2 linked regions of the Bombyx mori genome follow. Each later gene encodes a partner of the first gene's protein in a complex. Links are inferred from orthologs where the notes say so. Each region holds a gene or a part of one and is shown on either strand. Other genes may lie near its edges.

Region 1 (3,520 bases):
TAAATACTTGCAGTACTGCGATAAGATTGAGCGAGTACTCACTTAGCGATAACTAACTGTAATTATGATTCGAAAGTCCTGCCTATTGCTATTGTGACCAGATAAATATTAAAAAACCCTCTTTTAAAATAATTTATATATACATGCATACCGTAATTTCACAATAGATTTTATATGATTATCATTCACCCTAATACACAATAAAAAAGAGGATGGTTTGTTTATTTCTACTTTGTATCTGTTGTTTAATATAACCATAGGGTAGTATAAAATAGGTAATTTATTATTAAACAATAATAAATAAATTAACATTTTCTCTTCCTCTTTATTGATTTTGTTACAATGGTACTAAATAAAAAAATGTGTGCGTGTACTAGTGTACACACGTAAGAAGTGAAACTTGTTTATGGCCTTATTTTTCGAAAAATGATCTACATGCAACTTTCTAGAAATTGGTTAAATAAAGTTAAATTAGATAAAGTTTAAACAAAAGGATTTTATTATCATAGACAATAGACATGAATACAAATAATACAATTATTTCACTTTACCTTTTTGCTACTAAGATTATTACAGCATTTTAATAATACATCTCTTTGATATCATAATACCCTGGTACTTTTCTTCCTATAAATTAATAATAATAGCACGGTCCACGTGGTGTTAAATGGGGTTCCTGAGGTTCGTGAAGTTTGACCCACCTTGAGACATGAGGTCGATTTCTCAAATCCGAAACCATGCTTCAGAACATACCGCCGTTAATTATTAATAAATCTCTTTGCTATCATAATACCCTGGTACTTTTCTTCCTATTATTTTACGTAATAACAGTAATAAATAGCACGGTCCACGTGATATTATTAAGTGGGCTCCCTGAGATTATTGGAATTACAAAATGATTTCCGTAATCCACCTGGAGACATGAGGTCAATTTCTCAAATCGGAATCCATACTTCAGAACATACAGCCGTTAATTAATAAAGAAGGCTGTACGTCAGAGTAAAGTTATAATAATACATCTCTTTGATATCATAATACCCTGGTACTTTTCTTCCTATTATTTTACGTAATAACAATAATAGCACGGTCCACGTGATATTAAGTGGGTTACCTGGGATTATTGCAATTACAAAATGTATTCCGTGACCCACCTTGAGACATGAGGTCGGTTTCTCAAATGCGCATCTATACTTCAGAACATACAGCCGTTAATTAAAAGATGGCGCGTAACGGAAAAAAGTGACGCGTAACCGAAAAACGTGACGGTAAATTTTTTTCCAACGCCGATAAGGAAGTTTCACTTCAAAAATATTTCTGTATAGTCAAACCATCAATAGTCAATCTATCAATATGTAGAATAGTTTATAAATATTTACAGTACAATTTTTAAAATAATCATGTGGATTAATTTTCTTTGGATCATTTGGATCATTAAATTGTCGTCGCATCACGAGAACTGTCAAATATCTGTCACTCGTATCATCCTAATAATACCTGGTATCTCAGTAGGTCAGGATCAGGAAATTAGACAAAAAATTATAGTGAAAACATAGGTAATCCTTATATTGATGTTAAAGCCTAGAAATGAATTTAAAGTAGATTTTAGTTAACTTTCTGAGGAAGTCAACATAACAATGAAGTGTCACGTTCCGGGGCCTAATGTTAAAGGTAATATAAAGTGTGTGTTATCAATACTGAAATTATGCTGGCTCGGAAACGAATATAATTTTTATATAATTTTAGTTTTAGCAAGAACAGTACATACCTTAGCTCGATTTGGAGATGAATTATACCTGGAGTCATTACCCGACTGTATATTATTGAGAACATTGAATGCAGCCGAATCCGCATATGCGATGATTAAATTTAACAAAAACTTCTTTTCTTATTTTAATTACAATTATTACTCGACTGAAGATAACGAAGGTCTGAAATGCAAAATATCGATGAAGTCTGCTTTAAACGCCTTTAAATCTCCAGCTCACATTGATAAACAGGTAGAAAGTTTGGAAATGAAATTAGATCCAGAATCTTGCAAGTTAATATTTTGTTTGAAATGCAAGCATGGTATAGTTAAGACACATTTTGTATCAATATTAGACTGTAAAGCGATGCAGGCTGTGTACACTAAAGATACAGTACCAAACAGGTAAAAATTGTAACCAAAATAAAATATTAATTTATTTTTATCACTGTTAGATTGTAATGAAATATTTTTCAGAATTACTTCACCTCAAAGAATACTAAACGAAACACTGAACAGCTTCCAAACCTCTGACGACCAAGTGACATTAGAGGCCACAACTAAGTCACTGGTAATAAAAAATTATATTGATAGTAATATGGATCTGACAAAAATAATTCGAACACATGTAAGCTTAGATCCTGCTGAATTTGACAACTACATCATAGGAGAGGAAACCACTATAACATTTACATTAAAAGAGTTCAGAGCCCTACTTGCGTTTGCTGAAGCATTAAATTTGCCGTTGCAACTTCATTTTGAGACTACAGGTCGTCCAGCTGTATTCATAGTCCATAATGGAACTACTTTTGAAGCACATTTTGTGTTAGCAACATCTAAACCAGACAATGCAACACAAGCAACATCAACACAGAGCACTACCACAAAGGAAAGGAATAAAAGAAAAGATACATGTAATACTCAAGGCTCAGTAAAAAAGAAACGGCATATAGATGTTGAATTTTCTAAGTGCTTAGAAGAGGACTCTCATCTATTTAATTTTGTTGATATCCCTGATGATATAAATCTTAAAGCTAGTAATAATTTAGATAATGTTAAAGAACAAATAGACTTTGATAATGTTATTCCAGCATCTCCAACTTCAAGGACTAAGATAAAATCAGTATTTAAGAGATGTTTTGAAAGTACTTTTGATCCAAAAAGTATTCAAGGTGTCATTTTAGCTGAGAATTCAGACAGTGAATAAAAAAATAATGTTTTTAAAGTTGTTTGAAAGCAGATTAAAAAAAATTAAAATATTCCCAATTTTCATCAATATTATCTTATCTAATTTTCAGCAATATAATATGGTCTTATTACATTTGTTGGGAGACTCATAAACCACTTCAAAGATTATGGCTGATGTTTGGTTAATAATTTTGATTAGAGATCTCCCCACAAAATAATATGATTTATATTTTTTATGTTTTCTTAAAGGCATAAAAGGATTCAAATAAAATATAGAGTTCACTGCATTGATTTTATAGCAAAAAATATACATACAGAGAAACAGTATACACACATTACAAATCAACGATCATGATGTAGACCAAAATAGGGGTTCATCACTATGCATTTCTCACTATATATGTATTTATCTCGGTAACAATATGTATTGATTTTATATAAAGCGTATGTTTAAGACACCATCTCAACTCTTTGAAACAAGATACAAAACTCAAAAGCTTAATGATTTAAAAAAACCTACTTCATTGCTTTAAGGCAAAGTGAAATTGATACAATTTTTACAGAAAGTAGTTTTTATTTATTGAAAGT
Region 2 (4,162 bases), on another chromosome or scaffold:
CAGTGACGTTTGTACTCTATGGTCAAAGCTGCCAGATCGCAAAGGAATGGATTCGACTAAATCAAGTTCAAATCATCATCATTCAATCATCAAAAGATACATTTATTAAAAATAATTATCAGTTGAATACATCTAAAATATTCTATTCAACTGATAATTACTTCGAACCAACCATTATTAAAAACGCGATTATTATTATTTAGTCCGCAAATGACCCATGGTACAATGATTCAAGTACCGACAGTCATAATGGTCTGTTAATGCCTTCAGGATGCTGTTAGGGCTGACCCGGACCCGGCGAATCAGGGATGTGCATCTTTTCCGCATGGTCTTAAAGAATCAATCGACTCGTGCTTCGGCGAACATTATAACATTATAACAAGTAGGTACCACCACCCTGCCTATTTTCTGCGGTGAAATCGTAATGCGTTTCGGTTTTGTATTGTGGGGCAGCCATTATAACTATACTTGGGATCTTAGAACTTATATCTCAAGGTGGGTGCATTTACGTTGTCCTTGGGCTCCAGTAACCACTTAACACCAGGTGGGCTGTGAGCTCGTCTATCCATCTAAGCAATAAAGGCTGAATCTTGTTAACAACATTTTCAAGATAAATTTGCATAGATACGAGTTTCGAACCACAACATTAGAACCGTTAGTCTACCGAGCAATTTTATCCGCTCGGTGTAAGATCTTACCTTTTTTGTTAACACCCAAACTACTAAACTCTGTGATAGAGACAGTTACATGTAAATGTATGCACCTATACCTACATATTAAATATTTATCATCGCCAATATTAACACACATTCTTTACAATAGAACGAATTTTGTATCAAACTTCGTCTCACGCTGAAAAGATACTCTGATCTTTTCTTTTAGGTGCTTCCGGCTCACGTAGTATATCCTATACGTACAGATGTAGCAGATTCAGACTGGCGTAAACGAGAGTTTTCTTCTTTAACAGAAGATGATCAACAAAAACGGTAGAAATATCCTAATATTTTCTTACGAGCATCATTCTACATTTAGGGACTAAATCAATTGGCTCTGTAAGATACCTTAAGCACACATTCCGAAAAACTTTAATTAGCTAAAAGTCTCTGTTATTTAAAACACCGTTTAGCAAGAATGTTTAAAATTACAAATTGAATATTGTAGGAGCATTCTTGTCAAAGATCAAAGCCATTACTTATTTCTCGGCTTTCTTAACAGTTTCATCGGGGTATCTCATTATTATTAGTTCACAGAAACTACAGCTGGATAGCCTTCGTTACTTATTCTCAATGAACCAAAATGTTTGCATCATGAAATCACCTTTGCACTTTAAGTCGATTTCAATACTGATAAGAGTTTTTGTGCAGTTGCAATACTAGCCAAATCTATATTGTCAATGCTCACTCAATTTTCGCGCTGCCTAAGTTTTGAAAACAACACAGTATTGGAAAAATAAAACATAAATTACATGTCGAAACTGTGTTTAGTTACTAATTATTATATATCTTAAAATAGTGTGCAATTCATCATCTCATTTTGCACGAATTAAACAACTGTTTTCAAAAGACGAAAAACATATCACTATGAAATTCCGTGCTGTTATGAATAACTCTTCTCCAATACGCGAATTCTCAAGTAAAACTCCGCTTTAATGGTGTTGCTTACTAGTTTTTGATTATTGTAACCAGAATTTTGTTTTCAGCTATTGTTAGTACAATATCAAAACTGTCTAAGGAGTGTGTCCTAAGGATAGCAGACGATATGTTGTATTTCATTGTCAGCGATGAAAACACTGGACCAGCCCCTCCGGTACTATGGTGTGAAATACCACAAAGTGTATTTTTCTCTGAATATCAATTGGTTGGAATGGATGAAACTCACCAAGACATTTATTTAGGATTGAATTCGGGTATTATAATTTCCATTAAAAAGTGCTATGATAAAATAAATAAATTATTCTTGGTGAATATTTCCAATATCAAATGTTTAGATATTGATAATCATTGATATTAACTTAATAGCCATTAAGTTTAAAAAAGTGGTGATCTTCATTCAGGTACATCTTAAATAAATAATAAATTGTTGTTTTCCCAATACCATTTAAAGTTTCATGGTGTCTAGAAATATATAAAATAAAAAAATTTAAAATATAAAGAGTGGAAAAATTTTAGGACTAGCTGACCTTAAGCTTATGCTTAAGATGCCAGACTTCCAGACCCTTAGGGGTTATAATCAGATATTAGAAATCATTGTTTACTTGCACTCCAAAATGTTTTAAATGATAATCATGCAATATTAATAGCTTAAACCTCTTTTCACATGTATTTATATTTTGCCTAGCATTCTTTGTTTAATACACTGTTCAACATAGAGAAAATTAAATAACAATAAACATAAGAGACAATTGAACACAAATGTAATTTAAGTGTTTGGCATGGTTAGGTTGTGTGTGTTAGGTGTTATCTGTAAGATTTTGGTGTTTGTGTGTAGGAATTAGCAGTTTATAAACAGTTCTGAAACTGTTCGTTTTTTATGACAATGTGTTGCACTTTTTTTTTACTTAGATGGGTGGACCAGTTAAGTGGTTACTGGAGCCCATAGACATCCACAATGTAAATGCGTCACCCACCTTGAGATATAACTTCTAAGGTCTCAAGTATAGTTACAACGGCTGGCCAGCCCTTCAAACCGAAACGCATTACTGCTTCACGGCAGAAATAGGCAGGGCGGTGGTACCTACCCGTGCGGACTCACAAGAGGTCCTACCACCAGTGTACTTAAAGTAAAATAATCAACAGTATCTTAGATACTTATTTATATTGAATACTTGAGGACTGTTAGATCGTTTTCCAAGTTATCATAGTTAGTTCTTGTAACCAATCCATCAATTTCATTATGCATCATTTAGTTTAGTTTGCCAAATCACAAAAAACCCTTGATTTTCCTGTAACAACCACCCCTATAGCAAAGTATCAATAACAATGCTTTAAAAATAAATATTACAGACAGACAGACAAAAAATCATGTTACTGTGCAGTAAATTACTATAAGGAATGTTGAATTTTAATGTGTTCCTTTTTTATTGCTAATAAACAGAATCATGGCCCCTCTAAAGCCCATCATCATTCGTGAATATCAGTAATACTAGGAGCATGGCTGTGGCAGATAGCAAAATTGTAAAATGCCGTAATACAACTTACTGTAATTTTCAGGTAATCTCGCAAGATCTTTTGTCTCCTTGAAAAATGTAAAATCATTAAAAATGAAGTTAACAAAGAAACAGTGTCCGTGCCTAACATTGGAAATTGAAGTGGTATGCTTTTAATAAATAGCACCTGTTCACTTATGACTTGGTTAATGTAGACCTAGGAATGACCTTAATAAAATGAAGCCCCACGGATTTGTTAATATGTAACACATTAGAAATCTTGAGTCTTCTAATTGTTGCCTTTATCCCGTAGTGTAGAGGACCTATTCATTCATGTCAGCATGTCCTCTTTCTCTATTCAGACCTATCATACGTTATCTCTGCACTCACACCCTTCTCTCACATGTGCTCTTTCACGCAGTCCATCCAAGTGTTATTAGGCGGTCCCTCATTAGAAATGTTCACTATTAATATTTATTTAGTAACTAGTGAAATTAAATCGCCCTCTGCCGGTACTATTCTTAATTGATTTCCACCTAGTTGATTTATATTCTAAATACTATTGCAAGTTTCATAAGATGTAGAATGTAAGAATGTGTAAAAAACATGCATTCATTTTTATTGAAATCAAAGACTACACTAATGTTGTAAGTATCAAGTTCCAGTATAGTGCTTATTTCGATTTTTAAACAATCAAACGCACCCCCGCCTTTGGATTAAAATTTGTCAATACTATTTGAAAGTGTTGTGTTTATTCACAGTGCATTTGCAGAGATATTTTCCACATACCATCTGGTTCTGCAATTAACTCACCCCTTTCCTTAGCGCTATGACATGTGCTTCTTCAAACAAGGCTTACAAAGAGTACTTAGCGGTTGCAACTTGGCTGTGCCTCTGGCATTGCTGACATTGCTTCATGTATGAGGGCAACTACTCCCCATCAGGTGTCCACAAGCCTGTCTGTTTACAAAGGCCATAAAAAACGCTGCATTGCTATTTGCATCTTGTTAGTCTTCA

The links.
Region 2: the proteins of cell cycle checkpoint control protein RAD9A (region 1) and checkpoint protein HUS1 are in contact, whole or in part, in a crystal structure (PDB 3GGR), measured with the Homo sapiens proteins. The link is inferred for Bombyx mori from reciprocal best matches to the Homo sapiens genes RAD9A and HUS1. Residues at the interface, in NP_004575.1 of Homo sapiens: Leu157, Pro158, Pro161, Val176, Ala186, Lys191, Ala192, Met193, Val194, Thr195, Glu196, Met197, Cys198, Leu199, Gly200, Asp203; in NP_004498.1 of Homo sapiens: Thr84, Asn87, Arg90, Ala91, Lys93, Thr94, Phe110, Ser121, Ser123, Ser126, Arg127, Ile128, Val129, Thr130, His131, Asp132, Ile133, Pro134, Ile135.

Annotation. Positions count from the first base shown.
Region 1 is NC_085122.1:9,591,749-9,595,268, reverse strand, and holds cell cycle checkpoint control protein RAD9A, read left to right. Parts: upstream 1-1,293; 5' UTR 1,294-1,634; coding exon 1,635-1,668; intron 1,669-1,743; coding exon 1,744-2,149; intron 2,150-2,221; coding exon 2,222-2,951; 3' UTR 2,952-3,020; downstream 3,021-3,520. UniProt on the Homo sapiens protein: Component of the 9-1-1 cell-cycle checkpoint response complex that plays a major role in DNA repair. The 9-1-1 complex is recruited to DNA lesion upon damage by the RAD17-replication factor C (RFC) clamp loader complex.
Region 2 is NC_085134.1:9,690,874-9,695,035, forward strand, and holds the start of checkpoint protein HUS1, read left to right. Parts: upstream 1-1,362; 5' UTR 1,363-1,580; coding exon 1,581-1,632; intron 1,633-1,685; exon of another isoform or gene 1,686-1,699; coding exon 1,700-1,906; intron 1,907-3,209; coding exon 3,210-3,310; intron 3,311-4,162. UniProt on the Homo sapiens protein: Component of the 9-1-1 cell-cycle checkpoint response complex that plays a major role in DNA repair. The 9-1-1 complex is recruited to DNA lesion upon damage by the RAD17-replication factor C (RFC) clamp loader complex.